4 linked regions of the Anolis sagrei genome follow. The protein of the gene in region 3 purifies or fractionates together with the protein of the main gene of each other region. This does not show direct contact. Links are inferred from orthologs where the notes say so. Each region holds a gene or a part of one and is shown on either strand. Other genes may lie near its edges. The genes, in order: VPS41, VPS33A, PLEKHM1 and VPS39.

What was found.
Region 1: the proteins of PLEKHM1 (region 3) and VPS41 purify together in Homo sapiens (affinity purification with western blotting; 4 studies listed by BioGRID and IntAct, with this or other methods). This does not show direct contact. The link is inferred for Anolis sagrei from reciprocal best matches to the Homo sapiens genes PLEKHM1 and VPS41.
Region 2: the proteins of PLEKHM1 (region 3) and VPS33A purify together in Homo sapiens (affinity purification with western blotting; 3 studies listed by BioGRID and IntAct, with this or other methods). This does not show direct contact. The link is inferred for Anolis sagrei from reciprocal best matches to the Homo sapiens genes PLEKHM1 and VPS33A.
Region 4: the proteins of PLEKHM1 (region 3) and VPS39 purify together in Homo sapiens (co-immunoprecipitation; 3 studies listed by BioGRID and IntAct, with this or other methods). This does not show direct contact. The link is inferred for Anolis sagrei from reciprocal best matches to the Homo sapiens genes PLEKHM1 and VPS39.

Annotation. Positions count from the first base shown.
Region 1 is NC_090026.1:69,255,563-69,263,565, reverse strand, and holds the start of VPS41 (vacuolar protein sorting-associated protein 41 homolog), read right to left. Parts: upstream 3,005-8,003; 5' UTR 2,958-3,004; coding exon 2,919-2,957; intron 1-2,918. UniProt on the Homo sapiens protein: Plays a role in vesicle-mediated protein trafficking to lysosomal compartments including the endocytic membrane transport and autophagic pathways. Acts as a component of the HOPS endosomal tethering complex.
Region 2 is NC_090034.1:31,895,650-31,903,662, reverse strand, and holds the start of VPS33A (vacuolar protein sorting-associated protein 33A), read right to left. Parts: upstream 3,004-8,013; 5' UTR 2,957-3,003; coding exon 2,855-2,956; intron 1-2,854.
Region 3 is NC_090026.1:48,785,882-48,793,042, reverse strand, and holds the start of PLEKHM1 (pleckstrin homology domain-containing family M member 1), read right to left. Parts: upstream 3,008-7,161; 5' UTR 2,907-3,007; intron 1-2,906. UniProt on the Homo sapiens protein: Acts as a multivalent adapter protein that regulates Rab7-dependent and HOPS complex-dependent fusion events in the endolysosomal system and couples autophagic and the endocytic trafficking pathways.
Region 4 is NC_090021.1:287,124,736-287,132,340, forward strand, and holds the start of VPS39 (vam6/Vps39-like protein), read left to right. Parts: upstream 1-4,600; 5' UTR 4,601-4,716; coding exon 4,717-4,789; intron 4,790-7,605. UniProt on the Homo sapiens protein: Regulator of TGF-beta/activin signaling, inhibiting SMAD3- and activating SMAD2-dependent transcription.

The sequences.
Region 1 (8,003 bases), about 20 Mb from region 3:
GGGAGCAAGCTTGTTTTCTGCTTCCTTGGACACTAGGACACGGAACAATGGCTTCAAACTACAAGAGAGGAGATTCCATCTGAACATGAGGAAGGAGTGTGGTGGAGGCTCCTTCTTTGGAAGCTTTTAAACAGGGGCTGGATGGCCATCTGTCAGGGGCGATTTCAATGCAATATTCCTGCTTCTTGGCAGGGGGTTGGACTGGATGGCCCATGAGGTCTCTTCCAACTCTTTGATTCTATGATTCTATGAAAAGGCCCTTCCTGAACTTACACCCGCTACAAAAACAGGGCAACAATTCAGGCCATTTAAAAAAAGTTTTATAAACACGTATTTGTTGGTATTCGTTGATGCTCTTTTTTTCCAGAGCTACAATATGCTTCTTGGGATATAGCAAACCAGAACTACACTCACTATTAAAATGTGTTTGTGCCAGGTATTCATATAAAGGTATTACCATACAGGCACTTTCACTTCTTTTTGTTTTCCATCATCCCCAGGACACAATTCACATTTTAAAAAAAATCTCAGTCACTGAGAAGGAGAAATATTATAAATAAATAGAGAAAGTGAGAGAAAACTGCTTTGAGTCTCCTTCGGGGTGAGAAGGGTGGCATATAAATGTCGTAAATAAATAAATAAACAATAGGATTCCATGGAATCAGTGGTTTTAAACTGGTGTCAGTCTCCTTTAATGTAAGGGGCTTTGGGCAGGGCCGGGGATCTCCTGGATTTTGGGTGTTGTTGTTTTTCTTGATTTAAAAAAGGCAACCCTGACCTTGTGGTGAATGGAAGAGGAATGTATTGCCAGCTCTTAAGTTTCCAGTGTGAGCCTGTTGGGAAGGCAGACCTCCAAAGGGATGGTCACCCATGCTTTCCCCTCTGAATGGGATGAGGTGGCGACTGTGGTGCCTCAGTAGTCATGTTCTACGCAAGGGGCCTGTCCTGTCCCATTCTGTGTTCACCTCATGGAGGTCCCAATATACACCTGCAGAGGCCTGTCCTCTTGGGAAGGCCTTGGGCGACGCTTCCCAGCCATTCAACCACCATAGGAAACCTGCTACAAAACAGGAGCTTTTTTGTTGAGTTCCAGGGCCAGAGAAGCAGATGGCGGAAACAGAAGAACGGCCTGCCTCAGGGGAGCGTGCTTGCGCCATCCATGTTCAACATCTACACAAATGACCAGCCACTGCCAGAAGGGACAGAGAGTTTCATCTATGCTGATGATCATGCCATTACCGCTCAAGCAGGGAGCTTTGAGATGGTGGAACAGAAGCTCTCTGAAGCTCTAGGTGCTCTTACTGCCTATTACAGGGAAAACCAACTGATCCCTAATCCATCTAAAACACAGATATGTGCCTTTCACCTTAAGAACAGACAAGCATCCCAAGCTCTGAGGATTACCTGGGAAGGAATCCCACTGGAGCATTGCAATACACCCAAATACCTGGGAGTCACTTTGGACTGTGCTCTGACCTACAAGAAGCACTGCCTGAACATCAAGCAAAAAGTGGGCGCTATAAACAACATCATACGAAAGCTGACTGGCACAACCTGGGGATCACAACCAAACACAGTGAAGACATCTGCCCTTGCGCTATGCTACTCTGCTGCTGAGCATGCAGGCCCAGTGTGGAACACATCTCACCACACTAAAACAGTAGATGTGGCTCATAATGAGACATGCCGTATTATCACAGGGTGTCTGCGCCCCACACCACTGGAGAAATTACACTGCTTAGCTGGTATTGCACCACCTGACATCCGCCGGGAAGTAGCAGCCAATAGTGAAAGGACCAAGGCAGAGACATCTCCAGCTCATCCCCTGTTTGGGTATCAGCCAGCACGTCAACAACTTAAATCAAGACATAGTTTTCTTAGATCTACAGAGACACTCGCTGGAACACCCCAGCAAGCGAGAGTCCAAAAGTGGCAGGCCCGAACCCAGCACCTCAATCCATGAGTGATACCAGATGAGAGACTCCCCCCTGGGCACACAGAAGACTGGGTGACTTGGAAGGCATTGAACAGACTGCGCTCTGGCACCACGAGATGCAGAGCCAACCTTCAGAAATGGGGCTACAGAGTGGAATCCTCGACATGCGAGTGTGGAGAAGAGCAAACCACTGACCACCTGCTGCAATGCAACCTGAGCCCTGCCACATGCACAATGGAGGACCTTTTTGCAGCAACACCGGAAGCACTCCAAGTGGCCAGATACTGGTCAAAGGACATTTAACCAGCTACCAAACTTACAAGTTGTGTATTTTTCTGTTTGTTTGCTTTGTTCTGTTAGAAATGTAATATAATAGACTGGCTGCTCTGACACGACAAATAAATAAATGTCGTAAATAAATAAACAAACAATAGGATCCCATGGAAAGCAGTGGTTTTAAACTGGTGTCAGTCTCCTTTAATGTAAGGGGCTTTGGGCAGGGCCAGGGATCTCCTGGATTTTGGGTGTTGTTGTTTTTCTCGATTTAAAAAAGGCAACCTTGATCTTGTGGTGAATGGAAGAGGAATGTATTGCCAGCTCTTAAGTTTCCAGTGTGAGTCTGTTGGGAAGGCAGACCTCCAAAGGGACGGTCCCCCATGCTTTCCCCTCTGAATGGGATGAGGTGGCGAGTGTGGTGCCTCAGTAGTCATGTTCTACGCAAGGGGCCTGCCCTGTCCCATTCTGTGTTCGCCTCATGGAGGTCCCAATATACACCTGCAAAGGCCTGTCCTCTTGGGAAGGCCTTGAGCGACGCTTCCCAGCCATTCAACCACCTTTTTTGAAATTACCCCCAAACTATTCCTTGTCTCCCCTAGCCCTTTCCCTGCCTCATTTGCCTCCTTTCTCTCTCCTCGTCTCTTCAGTTTGCCACGCGCTAATCTCACAAACACCCAGAGTTTCTACCACTCTTCCGAGCCTTTACCTTCTCCTCTGCTTCCGCCATGCTGAGACTGGCTGTCATGTGAGGTAGTCAGGCAGGAAGCGGCCGCAAAGCGTGCCGGGTAATGTAGTTCCTCCGCCCCGCAGGCTGCCTGCCCTCCACACAAGGGAGCGGAAGTAGACGCGCGGAGGGGGGCGGGGCTTAATTTGAGCGGGAAGAAAGGCGCCTTGCAAGTAGCAGCTCAGGCTCTTCTGTCTCGCCACTCTCAGTGGGCTTGTGTCCCTTCAGCTCTTGCCTAGGAAATCCCCCTTGAGTTTCAGAGGGTTTTCATAGGCAAGAAATACTCAGAGATACTTTTGCCAGTTCCTCCCTCTTTTTTGTTTTTCCAGGTTCTACTATTTCAATTTTTTATTTGTCGTGTCAGGACAACCAGTCAAATTATATTACATTTCTAACAGAACAAAGCAAACAGACAAAATACAAAATTTGTGAGTTTGGTAGTTGATTAAATGTCCTTTGACCAGTATCTGGCCACTTGGAGTGCTTCTGGCGTTGCTGCAAGAAGGTCCTCCATTGTGCATGTGGCAGGGCTCAGGTGGTCAGTGGTTTCCTCTTCTCCACACTCACATGTCTAGGATTCCACTTTGTGGCCCCATTTCTTGGGGTTGGCTCTTCATCTCGTGGTGCCAGAGCACAGTCTGTTCAGCGCCTTCCAAGTCACCCAGTCCTCTGTGTGCCCAGGGGGGAGTCTCTCATTTGGTTGAGATTCTGGGTTTGAGCCTGCCACTTTTGGACTCTCGCTTGCTGAGGTGTTCCAGCGAGTGTCTCTGTAGATCTTAGAAAACTATTTCTTGATTTAAGTCATTGATGTGCTGGCTGATACCCAAACAAGGGATGAGCTGGAGATGTCTCTGCCTTGGTCCTTTCACTATTGGTTGCTACTTCCCGGCGGATGTCAGGTGGTGCAATACCGGCTAAGCCAGTGGTTCTCAACCTGGGGGTTGGGACCCCTGCAGGGGTCGCGAAGGGTTTTTGGAGGGGTCGCCAAAGACCATCAGAAAACACAACATTTTCTGTTGGTCATGGGGGTTCTGTGTGGGAAGTTTCACCCAATTCTATCATTGGTGCAGTTCATAATTCTCTGATCCCTGAGGGGGTCATGAGAGGGGTGTCAGAGGGGTCGTCAAAGACAATCAGAAAACACAGTATTTTATGTTGGTCATAGGGGTGTGGCAAGTTGGCCCAATTCTATCATTGGTGGGGTTCAGAATGCTCTTTGATTGTAGGTAAACTATAAATCCCAGCAACTACAACTCCCAAATGGCAAAGTCTATTTTCACCAAACTCCACCAGTGTTCACATTTGGGCATATTGAGTATTCATGCCAAGTTTGGTCCAGATCTATCATTGTTTGAGTCCACAGTGCTCTCTGGATGTAGGTGAACTACAACTCCTAAACTCAAGGTCATTGTCCACCAAATCCTTCCAGTATTTTCTGTTGGCTATGGGAGAACTGTGTGCCAAGTTTGGTTCAATTCCATCGTTGGTGGAGTAAAGCATGCTCTTTGTTTGTAGGTAAACTATAAATCCCAGCAACTACAACTCCCAAATGGCAAAGTCTATTTTCACCAAACTCCACCAGTGTTCACATTTGGGCATATTGAGTATTCATGCCAAGTTAGGTCCAGATCTATCATTGTTTGAGTCCACAGTGCTCTCTGGATGTAGGTGAACTACAACTCCTAAACTCAAGGTCAATGTCCACCAAACCCTTCCAGTATTTTCTGTTGGCTATGGGAGAACTGTGTGCCAAGTTTGGTTCAATTCCATCGTTGGTGGAGTAAAGCATGCTCTTTGTTTGTAGGTGAACTATAATTCCCAGCAACTATAACTCCCAAATAACAAAATTAATCCCCCCAACCCCACCACTATTCAAATTTGGTCCAGTGATGAAAATACATCCTGCATATCAGATATTTACATAATAACAGTAGCAAAGTTGCAGATATGAAGTAGCAATAACAATATTTTTTTTGCTTGGGGGTCCCCACAACATGAGGAACTGTATTAAGGGGTCGTGACATTAAGAAGGTTGAGAACCACTGGGCTAAGTAGTGTAATTTCTCCAGTGGTGTAGGGCGCAGACACCCCGTGATAACGCGGCATGTCTCATTAAGAGCCACATCCACTGTTTTAGTGTGGTGAGATGTGTTCCACACTGGGCATGCATACTCAGCAGCAGAGTAGCACAGCGCAAGGGCAGATGTCTTCGCTGTATCTGGTTGTGATCCCCAGGTTGTGCCAGTCAGCTTTCGTATGATATTGTTTCTAGCATCCACTTTTTGCTTGATGTTCAGGCAGTGCTTCTTGTAGGTAAGAGCACGGTCTAGAGTGACTCCAGGCAGGCCTGTAGCCGAGGGGGGGGGGGGGGGCTTGGGGGGCTTCAGCCCCCCCCCTGAAATTCTCATGGTGGTTTGCGAAAAGGCCTTACTGGTGCATTATTTAAACTGTTATGTTTATTCATATCATGATCTGATCACCCTACTCAATATATCCCATATGCATGGGGGTATTGGGGTAACGATACAAAAGGTTTGCTAGGGTAGACCCTCTTTCACTCGGACTCGCCCCCCCCCCAAAACAAACTCAGCCCCCCCCCCCCAAATCGAAATCCTGGCTACGGGCCTGCCCCCAGGTATTTGGGTGCGCTGCAATGCTCCAGTGGGATTCCTTCCCAGGTGATCTTCAGAGCTCGGGATGCTTGTCTGTTCTTGAGGTGAAAGGCACATGTCTGTGTTTTAGATGGGTTGGGGATCAGTTGGTTTTCCCTCTAATAGGCAGTAAGAGCACCTAGAGCTCTGGAAATCTTCTGTTCTACCATCTCAAAGCTCCCTGCTTGAGCAGTAATTACTATTTAAATGATAAAGAGACTTTAAGGACACCCTGTATAGAACAGCCCTTAGCTTCCAACTGCTGAAATTAAAAACATAATAACAATAATAATAACAACAATCTGGTGACTTTAAAAACTAATACTTTACGTACTTACTTACTCATTGTCTGAACAGAATAGTCTTCCAGGGGCAGTATTCTGGTGGGTCCGTAGGTGAGTGTGGATCCCTATTCTTGATCTCCATCTTCTCCCACAGTGAGGGCATTGGTTTCCAGGTGGAAGGTGGTCCTGGTCGGGGTTGGCTTGATGCGCCTTCCTCTTGGTACGGTTCTCTCTTTCGCCCTCCATTCGTGCCTCTTCAAATTCTACAGTACTGCTGGTCACAGCTGACCTCCAGCTGGAGCACTCAATGGTCAGGGCTTCCCACTTCTCAGTGTCTATGCCAGAGATTTTAAGGTTGGCTTTGAGCCCATCTTTAAATCTCTTTTCCTGCCCGCCAACATCCCGTTTTCCGTTCTTGAGTTCGGAGTAGAGCAACTGTTTTGGGAGACGGTAGTCGGGCATCCAGACAACGTGGTCGGTCCAGCAGAGTTGATGACGGAGGGCCATGGCTTTAATGCTGGTGGTTTTTGCTTCTTCCAGCACGCCGACATTTGTCTGCTTGTCTTCCCAAGAGATTGCAGGATTTTCCAGAGACAGCACTGATGGAACCGTTCCAGGAGTTGTGTGTGACGTCTCTAGACAGTCCACATTTCGTAGGCATACAGCAGGGTTGGGAGGACAATACCTTTATAGACAAGCACCTTGGTATCCCTACAGGTGTCCCGGTACTCAAACACTCTGCTTCATTCAGAAAAAAGCTGCACTCGCAGAGCTCAGGCAGTGTTGTATTTCAGTGTCAATGTTGAGTTTTGTGGAGAGGTGGCTGCTAAGGTAGAGGAAATGGTCAACATTTTCTAATGTTACACCATTAAGCTATATTTCTGGCATTGGAGAGGGATTGGCTGGTGACTGCTGGAAAAGTACTTTGGTTTTCTCAACGTTCAATGATAGGCCGAGCTTCTTGTATGCTTTTGCAAAGGTGTTTAGAGTGGCTTGTAGGTCTTCTGAATGCGCACAGACAACATTGTCATCAGCATATTGGAGTTCTATAACAGATCTCGTGACTTTAAAAACGACAATAATAATAATAACACAGGATCTGATGACTAAAAACTACAGCATGAATAATAACAGAATCTGGTGACTTTAAAAACAATAACAACAACAATAATTACAATAATTTGAGTACAATACTCCTGACCTCACAATCATTGGGGGGGGGGGGGGACAAATATAGATCCTCGATGTTGCAATTCCAGGTGACAGCAGGATTGACAAGAAGCAACTCGAAAAGCTTCCATAGTATGAGGATTTAAAGATTGAACTGCAGAAACTGGCATAAGCCAGTAAAGGTGATCCCAGTGGTGATCAGTACACTAGGTGCAGTGCCTAAAGACCTTGGCCTGCACTTAAACACAATTGGGGCTGACAAAATTACCATCTGTCAGCTGCAAAAGACCACCCTACTTGGATCTGCACATATTATTTTACGATACATCACACAGTCCTAGACACTTGGGAAGTGTCCGACGTGTGATCAAATACAAAAGCCAGCATAGTGATCTTTTTTCTGTGTACTAATCTTGTTATGTATCAAATAAGAAATTTAAATAGTAAAGAGACTTTATGGACACCCTGCATAGTATAGACCTTGGTATTCACTGATGCTCTCCATCCAAGTACCAACCAAGGCTGGCCCTGCTTACTTGTCAAAGATCAGACAGAATCTGGTGCCTTTAATAACATAATAACAACAATAGTAATAACAAATTTTATTCATTATCTGCCTTTCCTGATAATTGGAGACAGGGTACAAAAACATGAACAATTAATCACATAGATAAAAAACCATTAAAAGAAAACATGCACCAAACACAGATACAGATTTGATATATCGTAGCAATAGAAAGTAAATCAAAACTCATGATTGAAAGTTGACTGAGTAGGCCTGCTGGACGAGATGGATTCTCAACTGAGTTTTAAATTGCAACTCATTTAGCCATTTGAGCTATTCTGGCAGGTCATTCCACAGCCTTGGGGTGGCAGGTAACACAATGTAACCCAATGTACAGTGCATTGCAGAAGTCCAACTTTTAGGGCAGAGCTTTCCAAACATTTTGTGTTGGCAACAC
Region 2 (8,013 bases), on a different chromosome or scaffold from region 3:
GAAGATGTTGCCCAGGGGACGCCCGGATGTCTTGCAATCCTGCGAGGAGGCTTCTCTCATGGCGTGGAGGCTGCAAAGATGGCTGAGCAATGACCCCTCACAAACTAATACCCATGCCAACATAAAGGCAGATCAGATAGCACACCAACTCTTGAAGAATGGGAAACCCAACCTTGCCACCAAAGTAGGAAATAAACCAATAGCCAGAGATTGAGAACAACCTTCATGAACTCTTTTACATCTACTGAATTGGACATGGCTCTCAATAAATGTAAAAATGGCAAAGCAGCTGGCCTGGATGATCTACGGATGGAACAAATCAAGAACATTGGTCCAAAAGCAAGGTGCTGGCTGCTGGAGCTGATGAACAACTGCACTGCATCCTGTCAGATCCCCAAAATCTGGAGGAAAGCAAGAGTCATCGCCATCTTGAAGCCAGGCAAAGACCGTAATAACCCAAAAAGCTATAGACCAATCTCCCTGTTGTGCCACCTCTACAAAGTTCTGGAGAGACTTATTTTGCATAGAATTATGGAAAAAATAGACCCATGTCTGATCCCACAGCAAGCTGGCTTCAGGAAAGGCAAAAGCTGCACATCACAAGTGCTAAACCTGACTCAGCACATAGAAGATGGCTTTGAAAGGCAGCAGATCACAGGAGCTGTCTTCATAGACCTGTCAGCAGCTTATGATACTGTGAACCACCGCCTCCTCCTGAGAAAAATGTATAATATCACAAAGGACTACCACCTCACCCACCTCATAGGAAACCTGCTACAAAACAGGAGCTTTTTTTGTTGAGTTCCAGGGCCAGAGAAGCAGATGGCGGAAACAGAAGAATGGCCTGCCTCAGGGGAGCGTGCTTGCTCCATCCATGTTCAACATTTACACAAATGACCAGCCGCTGCCAGAAGGGACAGAGAGCTTCATCTATGCTGATGATCGTGCCATCACTGCTCAAACAGGGAGCTTTGGGATGGTAGAACAGAACCTCTCCAAAGCTCTAGGTGCTCTTACCACCTATTACAGGGAAAACCAGCTGATCCCTAATCCATATAAAACACAGACATGTGCTTTTCACCTTAAGAACAGACAAGCATCCCGAGCTCTGAGGATTACCTGCGAAGGAATCCCACTGGAGCATTGCAGCACACCCAAATACCTGGGAGTCACTCTGGACTATGCTCTGACCTACAAGAAGCACTGCCTGAATATCAAGCAAAAAGTGGGCGCTAGAAACAATATCATATGAAAGCTGACTGGCACAACCTGGGGATCACAACCAGATACAGTGAAGACATCTGCCCTTGCGCTGTGCTACTCTGCTGCTGACTATGCGTGCCCAGGGTGGAACACATCTCACCACACTAAAACAGTGGATGTGGCTCTTAATGAGACATGCCGCATTATCACGAGGTGTCTGCGCCCTACACCACTGGAGAAATTACACTGTTTAGCCAGTATTGCACCACCTGACATCCGCCGGGAAGTGGCAGCCAATAGTGAAAGGACCAAGGCAGTGACATCTCCAGCTCATCCCGTTTGGGTATCAGCCAGCACGTCAACGACTTAAATCAAGAAATAGTTTTCTAAGATCTACAGAGACACTCGCTGGAACACCTCAGCAAGCGAGAGTCCAAAAGTGGCAGGCTCAAACCCAGAACCTCAATCAATGGCTGATACCAAATGAGAGACCCCCCCCCCCCTGGGCACACAGAAAACTGGGAGACTTGGAAGGCGCTGAACAGACTGCGCTCTGGCACCGTGAGATGCAGAGCCAATCTTAAGAAATGGGGCTACAAAGTGGAATCCATGACATGCGAGTGCGGAGAAGAGCAAACCACAGGCCACCTGCCGCAATGCAACCTGAGCCCTGCCACATGAACAATGGAGGACCTTCTTGCGGCAACACCAGAGGCACTCCAAGTGGCCAGATACTGGTCAAAGGACATTTCATCACCTACCAAGCCTGCAAACTCTGTTTTGTCTGTTTGTTAAAATGTAATACAATTGTCTGGTTGATACTGACACAATAAATAAATAAATAAATAAATAGTGACCGTAATAAAGTTTTGTTGTTGTTACTGAAAATATATAATATATAATGACATACTGCATTACTGTATATTGGCGTATTTGAAGTTGTAATGTTTTTGATTACGAGCCGCTTGGAGTCTTCATGTGGAGAGATAAGGAGGGATATTAAAAAGGTAAAGGTTTCCCCTTGACATGAAGTCTTGTCCTGTCCAACTCTAAGGGGTGGTGCTCATCTCTACTTCTAAGCCAGAGTCTGCACTGTCCATAGGCAACTCCAAGGTCATGTAGCCAGCATGACTGCATGGAGCGCTGTTACCTTCACGCAGAAAAGGTACCTATTGATCTACTCATATTTGCATGTTTTCAAACTGCTAGGTTGGCAGAAGCTGGGGCTGACAGCGGGAGCCCACCGCACTCCCCGGATTCGAACCGCCAACCTTTTGGTCAGCAAATTCAGCAGCTCAGTAGTTTAACCTGCTGCGCCACCAGCAGGATATATAATAAATATAAATAAATAAAACCCAGTTCAAAGCAGATAATGTGGGATTTCATACAGCTCTGTAGAAGGGGCCTAAGAAGAGACCCCCAGAGGCCATATTGCTTAGACACAAGGGGCGAGTAAGAAATGAGATGAACGAATAGTCATCGCAGATGTGGGCCTATGTGCCTGTGAGGTCGGGATAAGCGTCGTGTGTGGACGTACACGGAGGCAGGCCAGCAGAGGAGGCCTTCCTCGGCCCCAAGACGGGGCAGGAGGGCGGGGAGAGGCCTTGAGGGAGGAGGTCGTCTCTGGAGGGGAAAGGGGCCCCGCGCTCACCTTGGAGCCCGCGCATTTGTCGAGGAACTCGCGCAGCTCCTTCCGCCCGGCCTCCCGCAGCGCCATGAAGTTGACGCGCCCCGCACTCAAGTGCGCCGCCATGACTGGCGCTCTCTCGCTCTCTCTCTCTCTCTCTCTCTCACACACACACACACACAGCAAGTGGGTCACGTGACGACGAGGGGGCAGGGCCCTGCCTCACGCGCCAGAACGGGGCGCTGAGGCGGGGCACGTGACTGCCTCTCCTCCCCCGCCTCTTTTGTCCCTCACGCGGACCTTGAGGCCTTCGCTTCCACAGCCCCCCCCCCCCCCAGTGGTCCTGATTGCCCATTAGTCCCCAGCCCTCCCACTTTCCTAGTTGGGGCTCAAATGGCCCAGTTCCTCCTTCCCTCCTTCTGCTTCAGCTTGTCTCAGTGGCTTTATTTTGGTGTCAGGAGCGACTTGAAAAACTGCAAGTTGCTTCTGGTGTGAGAGAATTGGCCGTCTGCAAGGATGTTGCCCAGGGGACGCCTGGATGTTTTGGTGTTTTACCATTCTTGTGGGAGGCTTTTCTCATGTCCCCGCATAGAAAGCTGGAGCTGACGGAGGGAGCTCAACCTGCTCTCCCCAGCTGCGACAATATCTCACGAAGCCAGACCAGACCACGGTGGTCCACGCCTTAGTTACCTCTAGATTGGATTGTTGCAATGCACTCTACGTGGGGCTTCCCTTGAAGACAGCCCGGAAACTTCAATTGGTCCAGTGCTTGGCAGCCAGACTTCTAACTGGGGCGAATTACAGGGAGCGGTCAACCCTCCTGTTTAAGAAGTGCCATTGGCTGCCATTTATCTTCCGGTCCCAATTCAAGGTGCAGGTTATTACCTACAAAGCCCTGAATGGTTTGGGACCCACCTACCTTTGTGACCACATCTCCTACCACAACCCTGCACGATCTCTTCGATCCTCTGAAGAGGCCCTTCTCTCACCTCTTCCCCTATCACATGCTCGACTTGTGGGAATGAGGAAGAGGGCCTTCTCCGCTGTGGCCCCCCTGCTTTTGGAACACGCTACCTAGGGAGATCAGGCAAGCCCCCACCCTAGCTACTTTTAAGAAAGATTTAAAAACCTGGTTTTTGCGATGTGCCTTTGGAGAGTGACCACTCAACCCATCTGGTCGTTTTAACCTGTAACTGCCCTCAGAATATAGCACCTTCCCCTGTCCCCTACAAAGGCCAAATCCCACTACTTCTCCCTGTCGGACTCCTCTCTTACAAATGCACTTTTATCCCTATCTTGCCCAGGGTTTTAACTTTTTAATATTTTACCTCATACATTTGGCCTGCCCTCTGTGTCTGATTTTATCATGCTATTTTATATTGTTGATTTTATTTGTTATTTAATATTTTGTTATGATGTATTTTTGTTACTGTGTTTAACTATGTTGTATTATTTTGGGCTTGGCCTCATGTCGACATGTCAGTCTTCAGTCCTGCAGGCACGAGGGTTTAACCCATTGCGCTACCAGGGGCTCCATGCCTCAGTAGCTGCAGAGGCAGTTCTGAGGGCAAACATCATCATCACTGGCAAACCCTTGTGTCCGAGTAAGATGGCCTTCCAAGCATTGGGTCTTGGCGGTGTGTCCATAGGTGACTGTGGCCCCTTTCACACAGCTGAATAAAAGCTCACATTTTTGCTTTGAATTTATTTATGTATTTATTTCCTAGATTTCTACCCTGCGCATCTCATAGAATCATAGAATCATAGAATCAAAGAGTTGGAAGAGACCTCATGGGCCATCCAGTCCAACCCCCTGCCAAGAAGCAGGAATATTGCATTCAAATCACCCCTGACAGATGGACATCCAGCCTCTGCTTAAAAGCTTCCAAAGAAGGAGCCTCCACCACACTCCGGGGCAGAGAGTTCCACTGCTGAACGGCTCTCACAGTCAGGAAGTTCTTCCTCATGTTCAGATGGAATCTCCTCTTTTGTAGTTTGAAGCCATTGTTCCGCGTCCTAGTCTCCAAGGAAGCAGAAAACAAGCTTGCTCCCTCCTCCCTGTGGGGACTCATCACAAAGGGGACTCAAGTTTGGCAAGATTTGATGCCGCATTACCAATATAAATAAACAAATAAACACATGGAGTAATACAAACAGATAATATATAAATACAATTCAAAGATTTTGAAATATTAAAAGATTACAAGCATAGTGCTTAGACCCGTAGTCATAGTTACTGCTGCATTCCGTATTGCATTATTCCCCAAATGCGTGGTGCCACAGATAGGTCTTCAGCTTTTTCTTGAATGTGAGGAGAGATAGGGACAGTCTAATCTCGCTGGGGAGGGAGCTCCACTGCCAAGGGGCACCCACTGAGAAGGCCCTATCATCCCCACCAATTGCGCCTACAAGAGGGATGGAATCAAGAGCAGGTGACCTGAATGCTCTAACCGGTTCATAGGGGGAGACACATTCTGACAGATAATTTATTTATTATTTATTTATTTACCTTACTTATATACCGCTGTTCTCAGCCCGAAGGCGACTCACAGCAGTTCACAACAAATACGAACAGCAAAAATTCAGTGCTACAGTATAAAAACAGTTAACAACCTAACACACTACACAATTAATAAACAATTACTACAATACCCATTCACTGTCGTCTCATCATCAAAAACATGTTCCAGATTCGTCATCCATTGTTCCATTCCAGTGTTCATTAACCAATCATTACACTAATTATTCGAACGCCTGCTCAAACGGCCAGGTCTTCACTTTTTTGTGGAATACCATTAGAGATGGTGCTAGTCTAATGTCCGTAGGAAGGGCGTTCCACAGCCAAGGAGCCACCACCGAGAAGGCCCTATCTCTCATCCCCGCCAGCCGTGCTTGAGAAGCAGGCGGGATCGAGAGCAGGGCCTCCCCGGAAGATCTCAAAGTCCTGGTGGGTTCATAGGCAGAGATGCGGTCGGATAGGTAGCTTGGGCCGGAAACGTTTAGGGCTTTAAAGGCCAACGCCAGCACTTTGAATTCAGCCCGGTAGCCAGTAGAGTTGGCGCAGCAGGGGGGTTGTATGCTCCCTGCGCTCCACTCCTGTTAAAATCATGGCTGCCGAGCGTTGGACTAGTTGGAGCTTCCGAGCTGTCTTCAAAGGCAACCCCACGTAGAGAGCGTTGCAGTAGTCTAAACAGGTTGTAACCAGAGCGTGGACTACCGTGGCCAAGTCAGACTTCCCAAGGTACAGGTGCAGCTGGCACACAAGCTTTAGCTGTGCAAATGCTCCCCTGGTCACCGCCGAAACCTGGGGTTCCAGGCTCAGCGATGAGTCCAGGGTCACACCCAAGCTGCGAACCTGCGTCTTCAGGGGGAGTACGACCCCATAGAATCATAGAATCAAAGAGTTGGAAGAGACCTCATGGGCCATCCAGTCCAACCCCCTGCCAAGAAGCAGGAATATTGCATTCAAATCACCCCTGACAAATGGCCATCCAGCCTCTGCTTAAAAGCTTCCAAAGAAGGAGCCTCCACCACACTCCGGGGCAGAGAGTTCCACTGCTGAACGGTTCTCACAGTCAGGAAGTTCTTCCTCATGTTCAGATGGAATCTCCTCTCTTGTAGTTTGAAGCCATTGTTCCGCGTCCTAGTCTCCAAGGAAGCAGAAAACAAGCTTGCTCCCTCCTCCCTGTGGCTTCCTCTCACATATTTATACATGGCTATCATATCTCCTCTCAGCCTTCTCTTCTTCAGGCTAAACATGCCCAGTTCCCTAAGCCGCTCCTCATAGGGCTTGTTCTCCAGACCCTTGATCATTTTAGTCGCCCTCCTCTGGACACATTCCAGCTTGTCAATATCTCTCTTGAATTGTGGTGCCCAGAATTGGACACAGTATTCCAGATGTGGTCTAACCAAAGCAGAATAGAGGGGTAGCATTACTTCCTTAGATCTAGACACTATGCTCCTATTGATGCAGGCCAAAATCCCATTGGCTTTTTTTGCTGCCACATCACATTGTTGGCTCATGTTTAACTTGTTGTCCACGAGGACTCCAAGATCTTTTTCACACGTACTGCTCTCGAGCCAGGCGTCCCCCATTCTGTATCTTTGCATTTCATTTTTTCTGCCAAAGTGGAGTATCTTGCATTTGTCACTGTTGAACTTCATTTTGTTAGTTTTGGCCCATCTCTCTAATCTGTCAAGATCGTTTTGAATTCTGCTCCTGTCCTCTGGACTATTGGCTATCCCTCCCAATTTGGTGTCGTCTGCAAACTTGATGATCATGCCTTCTAGCCCTTCATCTAAGTCATTAATAAAGATGTTGAACAGGACCAGGCCCAGGACGGAACCCTGCGGCACTCCGCTCGTCACTTCTTTCCAAGATGAAGAGGAAGCATTAGTGAGCACTCTCTGTGTTCGTCCACTTAACCAATTACAGATCCACCTCACCGTAGTTTTGCCTAGCCCACATTGGACTAGTTTCCTTGCCAGTAGGTCATGGGGGACCTTGTCGAAGGCCTTACTGAAATCCAGGTACGCTACATCCACGGCATTCCCCGCATCTACCCAGCTTGTAGCTCTATCGAAGAAAGAGATCAGATTAGTCTGGCATGACTTGTTTTTGATAAATCCATGTTGACTATTAGTTTCTAAGTGTTTGCAGACCGCTTCCTTAACAATCTTTTCCAGAATCTTGCCCGGTATCGACGTGAGGCTGACCGGACGGTAGTTGTTTGGGTCATCCTTTTTTCCCTTCTTGAAGATTGGGACCACATTGGCCCTCCTCCAATCTGCTGGAACTTCTCCCGTTCTCCAAGAACTCTCAAAGATGGTTGCCAATGGTTCCGAAATGACTTCCGCTAGTTCCTTCAGTACTCTTGGGTGTAGTTGGTCTGGCCCTGGGGACTTGAACTCATTAAGAGCGGCCAGGTATTCCTGGACGACTTCTTTCCCAATTTGGGGTTGGATGTCCTCCAATCCCTCATCCACTCCATCTTGCTGAGGTTGAAGACTCTCTTTTTGTGAGAAGACCGAGGCAAAGAAGGCATTAAGTAGTTCTGCCTTTTCCCTGTCCCCTGTCAGCATTGCCCCATCTTCTCCTCGAAGAGGTCCTATCGCCTCCTTGTTTTTCCTTTTTCTACTGACATAAGAATAGAAGCCCTTTTTATTGTTTTTAATGTCCCTGG
Region 3 (7,161 bases):
AGACAGAGTTCTGGAGCACAATACCCCTGGCCTCACGATCGTGTTAAAAAACAAAGTATGGATTATCGATGTTTCAATCCCAGGTGACAGCAGGATTGAAGAAAAATAACTGGAAAAGCTGACACGATATAAGGATTTAAAGATCGAACTGCAAAGACTCTGGCACAAGCCAGTTAAGGTGGTCCCACTGGTGATTGGCACACTGGGTGCAGTGCCTAAAGACCTTGGCCTGCACTTAAACACAATCGGTGCTGACAAAATTATTTATTTATTTATTTACTTAGAACTTTTATATCCTGTTCTTCTCTACCTCTGTGGAGGGACACAGAACAGCTAAATTAGCATTTGTCAGCTTCAGAAGGCCACCTTACTGGGATCTGCATGCATTATTCGCCGATACATCACATAGTCCTAGACGCTTGGGAAGTGTCTGATGTGTGATCCAATACAACAGCCAGCAGAGTGATCTTGTCTGCTGTGGACTCATCTTGTTGTGTTTCAGTTTATAATAACTTTATTTACACCCCATCCCATCTCCCTGAGGGGACTCTGAGTGGCTACCATGTAATCCTGATTATCAAAACAGATCATCCATATTGTCTGCTTTGAACTGGATTATATGAGTCCATATTCAGAAGAAGATCTACAAGCCACTCTAAACACCTTCGCAGAAGCATACGAGAAGTTCGGTCTGTCACTGAACATCGAGAAAACCAAAGTGCTCTTCCAGCAGTCACCGGCTAATCCCTCTTCAATTCCAGAGATACAGCTTAATGGTGTAACATTAGAAAATGTTGACCATTTCTGCTACCTTGGCAGCCACCTCTCCACCAAAGTCAGCATCGACACTGAAGTACAACACTGCCTGAGCTCTGCGAGTGCAGCATTTTTCCAAATGAAGCAGAGAGTGTTCGAGGACCGGGACATCCGTAGGGACACCAAGGTGCTCGTTTATAAAGCTATTGTCCTCCCAACCCTACTATATGCCTGTGAAACATGGACTGTCTACAGACGTCACATACAACTCCTGGAACGATTCCATCAGTGCTGCCTCCGGAAAATCCTGCAAATCTCTTGGAAAGACAGGCGGACAAACGTCAGTGTGCTGGAAGAAGCAAAGACCATCAGCACTGAAGTAATGCTCCTATGCCATCAACTCCGCTGGACCGGCCACGTTGTCTGGATGCCCGACCACCATCTCCCAAAACAGTTGCTCTACTCTGAACTCAAGAATGGAAAACGGAATGTTGGTGGACAGGAAAAGAGATTTAAAGATGGGCTCAAAGCCAACCTTAAAAACTCTGGCATAGACACTGAGAACTGGGAAGCCCTGGCCCTTGAGCGCTCCAGCTGGAGGTCAGTGTGACCAGCAGTGCTGTAGAATCTGAAGAGGCACGAATGGAGGGCGAAAGAGAGAAACGTGCCAATTATTATTATTATTAACTTTATTTGTACTCCGCTAGCATCCCCCGAAGGACTCGATGCGGCTTACAATGCATCAAAACACAACATAACAATACAAAACCTAAGCAAATTAAAAACAATTAAAGCAGTATTAAACAACAAGCAATAAACAATAGACCAAGACACAATAAAACTGGGCCGAGCCAGTTTTAAAAAGTGCTGGTGTGACAGGTGATATGTAAGGATTATAGGGTAAGTGCAGTGTGTAACAATCTTAATTCTAATAAAGTGCTTCTGGGACTTGTTATTGGAGAGGAAGGCGCATCAAGCCAACCCCGACCGGGACCACCTTCCACCTGGAAACCAATGCCTTCATTGTGGGAGAAGAAGCAGATCAAGAATAGGGCTCTACAGTCACCTATGGACCCACAAGCAGAGGCGGCCCTAGGTAATTTTCAACGGTAAGCAAACAGTATTTAGCCCCCCCCCCCCCCAACCAATCACTGATATATATTTTCTGTTCATCATGGGAGTTCTGTGTGCCATATTTGGTTCAATTCCATCATTGGTGGAGTTCAGAATGCTCTTTGATTGTAGGTGAACTATACATCCCAGTAACTACAACTCGCATATGTCAAGGTCTATTTTCCCCTCAAGAGCACCCCTGGGCAAAATCAACTATACTGCGAATGCATACTTTGCGTAATGGATTGAGCCGCCCCTGCCCACAAGAATACTGATCCTGGAAGACTATCCTAAGTAAGTAAGTAAGCAAGCAAGTATGAGTCCACACTGCCACATAATCCAGATCAAAGCAGATCATCTGGATTTTATATGGCAGTGTAGAAGGTCCCTATGATGGCAGCTAATTACACAACCAAACAACAGCCACACAAAATTTATTACAGTCCATAGACCCATCAGTAAAACCAACAATCATTATAAATTATAGTCAGGAAATTCTTCCTAATGTATAGGTGGAATCTGTTTTTTTCCTGCAATTTGAGTCCTCTGGCAATCACAACCTATAGAAACAGCCCTCTTTGGGCTCTTCTTCTCAAATCACCAAAAAAGGAGTGATAGGTTTGTTCATTCTGCAGTCCAATCAGTGATTCCCAAACTCTCCTCCTCCAGGTGTTTTGAACTTCATCTCCCAGAATCCCTGATGATTGACCAAGGCAGCTGAGGCTTCTGGGAGTTGAAGTCCAAAACCATTTGAGGAGAAGAGTTTGGGAATCACTGATGGACTGCAGAATCAATGCAGTTGGACACCACTTGAGCTTTTAGGTTTCAGATTGTATTGGTTTTACTGTATTCTGCTTTCACCACCCCCTGAACAGGCCTCCCCCTTTGTCTGGCTTCTCCCAACCTGTTTCCCCCTTCCAGCCAGCCTCTCCCCCCACAGAACCGGCCTCGACTCTTCCCTAGGAAGACCCCACTCTCCTTGGCCCAATTTCTCCCCCTCGAGGGGCGGAGCTTCGGGAGAGGAAGCTCGGACTCACCTGCTCCGCAGCGCGACCCCGACGAGGCAGGACTGGGGAAACCCCGGAAGTGAGTGAGCCCGAAACAGCTGCAGCGCCGAGCGGGAGCGCGCCCTCTGACGTCACCCGCCCCGCTCTGAACCACAGAGACAGGAATTATAGAGAGAGCTCTGAAGACTCCAGCAATACATGGAGAGAGAGTTGCCAGATGGACAAGCTGGGTTTAGAAAAGGCAGAGGAACCAGAGACCAAATTGCCAATATCTACTAGATAATGGAGAAAGGCAGGGAGTTTCAGAAAAACATCTATTTCTGTCTTCTTGACTACTAGCCGTCCCCTGCCACGCGTTGCTGTGGCCCAGCCTGCTAATCTGGAAAATAATTAGAAAGGGTTGGTTTCTAATATATGTAATGTCTTTATGCATGTGGGTAAACAGTATTTCTTGCTGTGTCTTTGTCAGTGTTGATGTGGAGATTGTCTGGTTTGCCTACTCTGGAACATGCAACATAAAATTGTGCATCAAATCTATTATTATTATTATTATTATTATTATTATTATTAACTTTATCTATACCACGCAAAATCTCCCGTAGGACTCAATGCGGCTTACAAAGGCCAAGGCCGCCAACAATCAACAACATACAATACACAATAAACTCAAAAGCAAATAATAAACATCAAGCAAAACAATAAAACAGTAAAACAATGACCCCGTGACACAATTAAAACCAAAGGCCGGGCCAAATGTAATGGACAAAAATTAAAATGCTGAACTTGACAGGTAATATGTAGAGGTATATGGAGGTACTTGCAATGTGCAGATAATCCTGAGTCTCTAGCAAAGTGCAATTGGGGCTTGAAACCAGGAGTTTCCTATTCTGGAAAGGCACACTGGAACAGCCAGGTCTTCAGGCTCTTCCTAAAGACAGCCAACGTTGGGGCTTGTCTGATGTCCTTGGGGAGAGAGTTCCAGAGTCAGGGGGCCACCACAGAGAAGGCCCTGTCCCTCGTCCCCACCAAACGCGCCTGCGACGCAGGTGGGATCGAGAGCAGGGCCTCTCCAGATGATCGAAGGGAGCGTGCGGGTTCGTAAACGGAGCCCACACCAGAGCTCCCTGTCGGCTGTCACCACCCCCAGCTCCATCTGAATCAAGCCAGTCACTTCAAGGATGCTATCCATCCATCTTGCCTTTGGTTGGCCCCTCTTCCTTTTTCCTTCCATTTTCCCCAGCATCATTGTCTTCTCTAAGCTTTCCTGTCTCTTCATGATGTGGCCAAAATATTTCATCTTGGCCTCTACTAGCCTTCGCTCCAATGAGCAGTTGGGCTTTATTTCTTGAAGTATGGACTAGTTGGATCTTCTGGAGGTCCAAGGCACTCTCAGAACTCTCCTCCAGCACCACATTTCAAAAGCATCTATTTTCCGTTGCTCAGCCTTCCCTAAGGTCCAGCTCTCACATCCATAGGTTTCTATGGGGAATACCATTGCTTTAACTATGAGGATCTTCATTGCCAGTGTGATGTCTCTATTCTTCACTATTTTATCGAGATTGGACGTTGCTTTCCTCCCAAGAAGTAAGCGTCTCCTGATTTCCTGGCTGCAGTCTGCGTCTGCAGTAATCTTTGCACCTAGAAATACAAAGTCTGTCACGGCCTCCATGTTTTCTCCCTCTATTTCCCAGTTGTCAATCATTCTTGTTGCCCTAATCTTGGAGTTTTTTTTATGTTGAACTGCAACCCAGCTTTTGCGCTTTCTTCTTTCACCTTGATTTGAAGGCTCCTCAGCTTCTCCTCACTTTCGGCCATCAAAGTGGTATCATCTGCATATCTGAGGTTGTTAATGTTTCTTCCAGCAATTTTCATCCCAGCCTTGCATTCATCAAGCCCCGCACATCGCATGATGTGTTCTGCATACAAGATGAATAGGTTGGGGGAGAGTATACAACCCTGCCGCTCGCCTTTCCCAATCTTGAACCAGTCTGTTGTTCCATGGTCAGTTCTTACTGTTGCTTCTTGGTCCTTGTACAGATTCCTCAGAAGAGAGACAAGGTGATTTGGTATGCTCATACCACTAAGAACTTGCCACAATTTATTATGATCCACACAGTCAAAGGCTTTAGAATAGTCATATAATCATCGCCATATAATCCAGTTCAAAGCAGATGTGTATTTTTACAGCTGTGTAGTTTACAGACTTAGTTTCTCCGATTTATGGTGACTCCAAGGGGATCTATACTGCCATATAATCTAGTTTCTGAATCCAAATTATCGTTTTTGAGCCGGATTATACCCATCTACATCACAATATAATCCAATGTCCGAGGCCCCTTCTACACTGCCATATAAAATCCAGAATATCTGCTTGGAATTGAATTATATGGCAGTGTGGACTCATATAATACAGTTCCAAGCGGATCATGTGGAATATCTGCTTTGATAATCTGGGTTATGTGGCAGTGTAAAAGTGGCCTCACTTTAAACTCAGAAACAGGTCTTGATCTCACACACTAAACCATTTTGTCTCCTGAGCATGGAGATGCATCTCTCTATTAGTTCTTAAATCTGTGCTTGAAACAGGCAATGGGCGGGGCAAAGGGAACAGCGACGTGATTGGACAGACTCCAGACAGTCGGGTCTTCCTCCGGCTCTGTTGCTTCCGCTCTCACCCTATTTTGTTTTCTTCGCCTGCCTGTCTTTCTAGGGCCCGCCTACTCCCGCAGCGATTGGTAGAGACACAGAAATCCAGTGATTTCATTGGATGAGAGCGGGAAAAAACAAACAGAATGTTTAACTATTCCCCTTCCTGGTTTGTTGTAGGTTTTTCGGGCTGTATGGCCATGTTCAATCTAGAAGCATTCTCTCCTGACGTTTCGCCTGCATCTATGGCAAGCATCCTCACAGCCTCAGGCCCTTTCCTTTTCTCCCTCAGCTGCACGGCTGCTGCATTCAGATAAGATCACTACTGACCAAAAGGTCATGAGTTCAAAGCCAGCCCAGGTTGGAGTGAGCTTCCGACTATTGTGTAGCTTGCTGTCGACCTTTGCAGCCCGAAAGACGTTGCATCTGGAGCCCCCTGTGGCGCCGTGGGTTAAACCCTTGTCGCAAGTTCGAATCCAGGGAGAGCATGGATGAGCTCCTTCTATCAGCTCCAGCTCCTCATGCGGGGACATGAGAGAAGCCTCCCACAAGGATGATAAAACATCTGGCCGTCCCCTGGGTAACATCCTTGCAGATGGCAAATTCTCTCACACTAGAAGCAACTTGCAGTTTCTCAAGTTGCTCCTGATACGACAAAAAAAAATCTGTTAAGTAGGAAATTTAGGTACCGGTTATTTAACTAATTTACGATGGAGCCCCCAGTGGCGCAGTGGGTTAAAGCCCTGCGCCGACAGGACTGAAGACTGACAGGTCGCAGGTTCGAATCCGGGGAGAGGCGGATGAGCTCCCTCTATCAGCTCCAGCTCCTCATGCGAGAAACCTCCCACAAGGATGATAAAACATCAAATCATCCAGGCATCCCCTGGGCAATGTCTTTGCAGACGGCCAATTCTCTCACAACAGGAGCGGTCGCTCCTGACACGATAACCCCCCCCCCCAAAAAACCCGTAATTTATGATGCCATAAAATCTCCAGCAAGCTAGCAAAAGAATGAGGAAGTACTCCATCAGTGTCACAAATGCTCAGTGAAGTGACAGCTCCTCTGGTGGCCAGAATGCCCTCACGAAAGCTGGAAAGTTAATTAGCCTCTGTCTATATATGTTGTGTGCTATATATGTGTCTGTCTATATATGTTGTGGTCTATGACATTGAATGTTTGCCATGTATATGTACAGTGTAATCCACCCCGAGTCTCCTGCAGGGTGAGATGGTCAGAATAGAAATACTGTAAGTAAGTAAATAAGTAAATACTCATATAATCCAGTTCAAAGCAGATCATGTGGATAATCCAATTAAATAATCTGGATTATATGGCAGTGTTAAAGGGGCCTAGAATACATCTACACTGTGAAATTAACACATGCCATGCATTTCAGTGCTATGGAATTGTGGGGATTGTAGCTTTACAAAGACTTCAGCCTTCTCTGCTGGAGAATGCTGGTTTCCCACCACTTCGATGATTCCACAGCCATAGCAATAAACGTGGTATCAAACTGCATTAATTCCACAGTGTAGATGGATCCTGTGTCTTAATCACGACCCCATCCATTTCTCAAGAGTTTTCTTAGGCAAGGAATACTCAAGAGATGGTTTCTGACAGTTTTCCCCTCTCAAATAG
Region 4 (7,605 bases), on a different chromosome or scaffold from region 3:
AGTTTTGTGTCTCAATTTTATTTCAGTTGTACTTAGTATGGTAATGGGTTTACCTGTAACAAATCACTTGATTATTTGATTCAATTTAAGTTGCAGATTTTTGTTCTGTATCGTAATAAAATCTTTGGCAGTGAATCTTTCCATCTCTTTAACATTTTCAATTGTAATTTGCGGTTTCACATATTCTGATGCTTATATCCATTTGGGATCACATTCTCCATTATAAACACTTGGTTTATAACTTGAAATGTGTAAGGAGCCCATGCTCAAGGTATATTTTTATTGGGACTTTTATTTATTAAATTTGTATCCTACCTTTTAAGAGCTCAGTTCAGAGCAGCTTCTCCAGTTTTGGCATCAATACTTCAATATGTTGTGCTGCATGGTACTATAAAAATGTGCATTTGCAAGTATTGGTCCATACAGAATCATAGAATTTGAAGGGCAGTATGGACCATGAAGTCCAATTCCCTGCTCAATACAGGATCTCCACCTGTATCCTCAACAGGGAGCTCTCCAACCTCTTTTTGGAGACATCCAGAAAAAAAAATAACTCACCACCTCAGTCTGATTTTTGTGTTCATGCTGCAGATAAAGAAATCTTACTTTGTAAATCAGTTTGCAAGGCTCCCATGATACTTATCATATATCTCAGGTGAGGTCAGTGTGATGGCTTGTTGCATCTTTATGGTAAAAAAAATCAGATGTATCCTCCCCCCAACATGCCTTCATAGGATAAATGAATCCCATCATCATTGGTTTTTGGGCAGTGACTTACTGTTATTGAAAACTTGGGATCTCAAGGAAGACCCCAAAACCCTTGGCCACAGAAAGGTCTTGATAGCCAATGAGACCTTTCACCCTAAACCTAATTTCAGCTAACTTCCACAGATGACTGTTAAGCTGGACATACAACTTTCATAAGTACTCACCGGAGGGATGTAGAAAAACTCCATCGTCCTTCAGGCAGTGGGCATAATCCCTCAACATTGCCTCCACACATTTATTTATTTATCTTAAACGTTTATATTCTGCCCTTCTCACCCCGAAGGGGACTCAGGGCAGAGCACAGCATATATGCGGCAAACATTTAATGCCAGGACACAAATTCTTATATACATACATAAACATTAAAAACATTTATCAAAATATTAAAATACACTATTTAAAACTGTTCTAGTCATCCACGTCAAATCTAATTGGCCTGGTAATCTTTCCTATTGCTGCTTTATTGCCCTGTCCCGAAAGCCTGGTCCCACAGCCAAGTTTTTACCATCCTTCTAAAGGACAGAAGAGAGGGGACTGACCTGATCTCACCAGGAAGGGAGTTCCATAGCCGGGGAGCAATCGCCGAGAAGGCCTTCTCTTGTCCACACCAATCGTGCCTGTGACAATGACGGGACGGCAAGCAGGGCCTCCCCGGAGGATCTTAATCTCCACAATGGTTCATAGTGGGAGATGTGTTCAGACAGGTAATTTGGGTAATTTCATCTAACAAAGAAGTTGCACAACCCCTTTCTTCATCCTCCTGGGAACCCATTTCAGGCTGGCTAACATCCATTGCTACCCATTGTTTCACCTGCATGGACCAGTGTCCTCACCAAGACACGGGAAACTACCATCATTAGCATCCATTACCTCAAACCTATCTACTTTTCTTTCCCTTCCCATACCCATGAGAGGAGGAACAAGCAACAGCCACAAAACTTCAAACTGAGCAACATCAATTTATTAAATTTCCCTCCTAACCTGGAGACCAATCAGCAACAATGACAGATAGCACACTCCAGCCAACCAGCCTTCAGATCCTAGCTAGCCATGATATGGACCAATTGACACTCAGGGCTGCAGAAGTCCTTCATTTCCAACTGCTGTCGAAGTGCTATAAATAGTTATCCATGTTTACATTGGGGTACGTCAGTCTTTGGAGTGCAGACTCTGCTGACATCCTCTTTCAGCCAAAAGAGAATAAAGCCGCCATTCTTTACCCTCATCCTGTACTTTATTTGGTCATTTGGGGAGCTTGACATGTCAGGTTTCTGAACCTGTGGTTCTTGCAGAGTTGAAATTGCTCAACTCTGGTGGAAAAATCTGTGGGTCCTAAGTTTCAGGGGCTCAAAATGGAATTTAAAAACTCACCTATTTTAAATTAAATCTTCAACCTGTGAACAAGGAGGGGGGGGGGGGTGCTTGAACACATTTAGCCTTGATCTAAAATAAATACATGCACATGTCTATAAGGATATATTCATTTCAATTAGCTAGACACAGGACTACTGGGATAGCCTATATTCCACGGATGAGCACATCCCTTTAGGATGTTCTGTGAAAATATTTTTTTAAAAAACTTTTTTTAAAGCCCGTGCCAGAATATGAAGCTCTTTCTGAAATTTAGTGTATCTCTGTTTTAAAAATGAAATCTGAATTTCTATTTCCAAATCTACTACATTATACCAAACATTCAGGCAATAGGAGTGAATGAAAGAAGGAAGACTTTTGTAGGTTCACAATGCTTAGGGCAGAGTTTCTCAAACTGTTCCTCCAGATGTTTGGACTTCAGCTCCCATAATTCCTAACAGCTTGTAACCTGACTGGGATTTCTAGAAAATGACGTCCAAAACACCTGCAGGAGCAGAATTTTTGAGAAACATTGGCTTAGGGACAGAGTTAATGTTCCATGTTGGATAGAAATGCCTGAGCATTTAATTCATGTGTGAAATACAGTTCTGATGGACATGTGACAGGCACCTGGGGAATGACTGAGGGGGTAGGATGAAATACCAGAGGGGAGTGTAGAAACGGATGAGTCATAATCATGAGAGATGTATGATTAGAGGTTGCATCATTCATTTGTCCCTTATTTATTTATTTATTTATCGTGTCAGGAGCAAACCAAAACCGTGGTATTGCATTAAAAAACAGACAAACAAAACACAAAATTTGCAGACCTGATATTCTATTAAATGTCCTTTGACCAGTAGCTGGCCACTTGGAGTGCCTCTGGTGTTGCTGCAAGAAGGTCCTCCATCGTGCATGTGGTAGGACTCAGGTTGCATTGCAGTGGGTGGTCTGTATTTTGCTTTTCTCCACACTCACATGTCGTGGATTTCACTTTGTAGCCCAATTTCTTAAGGTTGGCTCTGCATCTCGTGGTGCCAGGGCGTGTCTGTTCAGCGCCTTCCAAGGCGCCCTGTTTTTGGTGTGCCCAGGAGAGAGTCTTTCATTGATTGAGGTTCTGGGTTTGAGCCTGCCACTTCTGGACTCTCGCTTGCTGGGGTGTTCCAGTGAGTGTCTCTTTAGATCTTAGAAAACTATTTATTGCTTTAAGTCATTGCCGTGCTGGCTGACACCCAAACAAAGGATGGACTGCCTTGGGCCTTTCACTATTGGTTGCTATTTCCTGGTGGACATGAAAGAAGCCTCCTCGCAGGATTGTGGAGCATCTGGGCATCCCCTGGGCAATTTCTTCGTAGACGGCTGATTCTCTCACTCCAGAAGTGACTTGCAACATGCAACCAAACAAGCAAACCAACCAACGGACCTTTTCAGGACCCTTAGTGATGACAAGTCACCAGGTGGAAAGTGAAATGCTCACTCTTTCTCTCTGCGTGACATCTTTCTTCCCTCTTTGTATGCTCTCTTGCTGTGACTATCTTGCTGTGTATCTTGCTGTGTACATCCCTTTCTGAGTGAATCTCGTGTAAGTGAGGTCGAGCATGACCCCCCACACCAGGTCAAATTAACAGGAATAAATGACTGGAACTGGTCATCCTGCCCTGTTAATTTTATGTTTATGCCTTTTTTCTTGTATGTATTGATTATGTTACCTGGAAACCGCTCTGAGTCCCCTTGGGGGGATAGAGCGGTATATAAATAAAGTTTTGTTGTTGTTGTTGGCCACTGGAGAGCAGAAATCTGCATTGGAAACGGGGAACGCTCTGTGATTGGCTGGTGGATGTCATAGTCCTGCCTCAGAGAGGGAATCCTCCCAGCTGGTGTGATGTCAGAGATCAGCTCATGGGCCATGCAGTCCAAGAAGCAGGAAAATCGCATTCAAAGCACCCCCAACAGATGGCCATCCAGCCTTTGTGTAAAAGCCTCCAAAGCAGGAGCCTCCATCACACTCTGGGGCAGAGAGTTCCATTGCTGAATGGCTCTCACAGTCAGGAAGTTCTCCCTAATGTTCAGATGGAATCTCCTTTCTTGTAGTTTGAAGCCATTGTTCAATGTACTACTCTCCAGGGCAGGAGAAAACAAGCTTGCTCCTTCCTCCCTATGACTTCCTCTCACATATTTATACATGGCTATCATCGTGGAGTCTCAGCTTTCTCTTCTTCAGGCTAAACATGCCCAGCTCTTTAAGCCGCTCCTCATAGGGCTTGTTCTCCAGACCCTTGATTATTTTAGTCGTTTAAGCGGCTGAGGGGGAAAAGGAAAGGGACTGAGGCTGTTAGGAATTATGGGAGTTGAAGTCCAAAACACCTGGAGGTAGGGCCCAAGTTTGCCCATGCCTGCCTAAGGGATGATAAAGGAGTCGAAGGATGGCATCCACCTCCATCAGGAGGAGGAGCCTCTCCGCGGAAGTGAAGCGGGAGCCGGAAACGTCGCAGAGCCTAGGCCGGAGCTGGAAGGGAGGAAGGGAGGAAGGAAGGGCTCCCCATCGCTCTCCTTTCTGCTGCTGGAAGGGAGCCTCTTGGGGCCCCGGCCTTTGCCGCCATGCACGACGCCTTCGAGCCGGTGCCCATCCTGGAAAAGCTGCCCCTCCAGATCGACTGCCTGGCCGCCTGGGGTGAGTGGCGCCCATCCCAGGGCGCATCCACACTGCGGAGTTAGCGCAGTTTGGCCCCGCTTGAACTGCCCTGGCTCAAGGAGGTGGGGTGAGGGAGTTTGGGGCGGCAACAGCTGAAGACCTTCGCTGCCCATCATTCCATAGCATTTGAGCCCAGGCAGTTCAAGTGGTATGGAACTGCGTTAGTTTTTAGGAATGTGGCTGCACCCCTTTCGTGATGCTGTAGGTTGTTGTTGTTGTTGTTATCCCCCCTCTTTTTGTCTCTGAAAGGAGATCCAAATTAGCTATCCTTAAAAACAAAGAGAACACACCACTGAAAGCCTAAAATATGATTGTTATTGTTATTATTTTATTTCTTTCTACCTTCCTTTCTCTCTCTAAAAGGAGACCCAAAAGAGCTATCACTGAAAACAATAGAAGACACCATTGAAATTATTATACTTCTTACTCCTCTTTTATCTCTAAAAGGAGATCCCAAGCAGCTATCACTAAAAACAATAGAACACACATTGAGAAAGCCTAAACATATTGTTGTTGTTGTTAGTATAACTATATTGCTACCCCTATTTATCTCTTTAAAAAGAGACTCAAAGTAGCTATCACTAAAAACAATGAACATACATTGAAAGCCTAAACATATTGTTGATGTTATTAGTATAATTATATTTCTTTCTACCCCTATATATCTCTCTAAAAAGAAACCCAAAGCAGCTGTTACTGAAAACAATAGAAAACACAACTGAAAGGCTAAAAATGAAAGGAGATTCCATCTGAACATGAGGAAGAACTTCCTGACTGTGAGAGCCGTTCAGCAGTGGAACTCTCTGCCCCGGAGTGTGGTGGAGTCTCCTTCTTTGGAAGCTTTTAAACAGAGGCTGGATGGCCATCTGTCAGGGGTGCTTTGAATGCAATATTCCTGCTTCTTGGCAGGGGGTTGGACTGGATGGCCCATGAGGTCTCTTCCAACTCTGATTCTATGTCATTTTTGTTGATGATGTTGATGAGCTGCTGAACTTGCTGAGCGAAAGGTTGGCAGTTCGAATTTGGGGAGCGGGTGAGCTCCCACTGTTAGTCCTAGCTTCTGCCACATGCAAATGTGGGTAGATCAATAGGTACCGCTCCAATGGGAAGGTAACGGTGCTCCATGCAGTCATGCTGGCCACATTACCTAGGAGGTGTCAATGGACAACGTTGGCTCTTTGACTTAGACATGGAGATGAGCACCACTCCCCAGAGTCGGACACGACTAGACTTAATGTCAAGGGGGAAAAGGAGGCCGGAAGCAGCTATCAGTGAGAACAGTAGGACACACGATTGAAAGGCTAAAAATGTTGTTGTTGCTCTTTCTACCCCTCTTTCTCTCTCCAAAAGGAAATCCAAAGCCGCTATCACTAAAAACAATACAACACACATTGAAAGCCTAAACAAGTAAACATATGATTACACTTCTTTCTACCCCTTTTTATCTCTCTAAAAGGAGATCCAAAGCAGTTATCGCTAAAAACAATTGAACACACCATTGAAAGACTAAACTATTGCTGCTGCTGTTATATTTCTTTCTACCCCTCTTTATCTAAAAGGAGACCCAAAGCAGCTATCACTAAAAAAAATAGAAACACACTTTTTTTTGTCGTGTCAGGAGCGACTTGAGTAACTGCAAGTCGATTCTGGTGTGAGAGAATTGGCTGTCTGCAAGGACGTTGCCCAGGGGACGATTTGATGTTTTTATCATCCTTGTGGGAGGCTTCTCTCATGTCCCTGCATGAGGAGCTGGAGCTGATAGAGGGAGCTCATCCGCCTCTTCCCGGATTCTAACCTGCAATCTGTTGGTCTTCAGTCCTGCCGGCACAGGGGCTTAACCCACTGCGCCACCGAGGGCTCCTAGAAACACACATTGAAAGTCTAAACATCTTGCTATTGTTATTATATTTCTTACTCCCCTTTTATCTCAAAAAGGAGATCCAAAGCAGCTATCACTAAAAACAATAGAACACACATTGAAAGCCTAAACATATTGTTGTTGTTATTAGTATAACTATATTTCTTTCTACCCCTGTTTATCTCTCTAAAAAGAGACCTAAAGCAGCAACTACTAAAAACAATAGAACACACCATTGAAAGCTTAAAAAAACCCGCAAACACTAAAATAGGATTAAATATTGGAAGTAAAAAAAATAAACACGAAAAATATTAATATTGTATCTAAAATGCTTGGCTCCAGCAGTGTTTGAGGTTTTGGATTACCTGTATTAGCATATACACGTGATCTTAGAGATGGGACCCAAGTCTCAACCTGAAATCATATATATATCTTATACACATACTGTTAATAATTTTGTAAGCCATATTAACTATGAATTTTTATATTTCTATATTTAATTCTATTAATTTTATTATTTATTATTATTTATTTTATTTCGTGTACTTCTACCCTGGCCTTCTCAACCCCCGAGGGGGGACTCAGGGTGGCTTACAAACAGGCACAATTCGATGCCTACACAATAATACAAAAACGCATAAAAACAGCAGTTAAACAGTTATAACAATTAAAACAATCAATATATATCACAATCAATAACCAATCTCATGATCAGCGTTCGCCAACTCAGAGTCCATACTTCATTCCACATTGTCTATTCCTATCCGTCATCGTAGTCCTTTATTTAACTGCCAGATTGCCCAAACGCCTGGTCCCAAATCCATGTTTTTAATTTCCTTCTAAAGGAAAGGAGGGATGTCGCTGATCTAATTTCCCCGGGGAGTGAATTCCATAGGTGAGGGGCCACCACTGAGAAGGCCCTGCTCCTCGTCCCCGC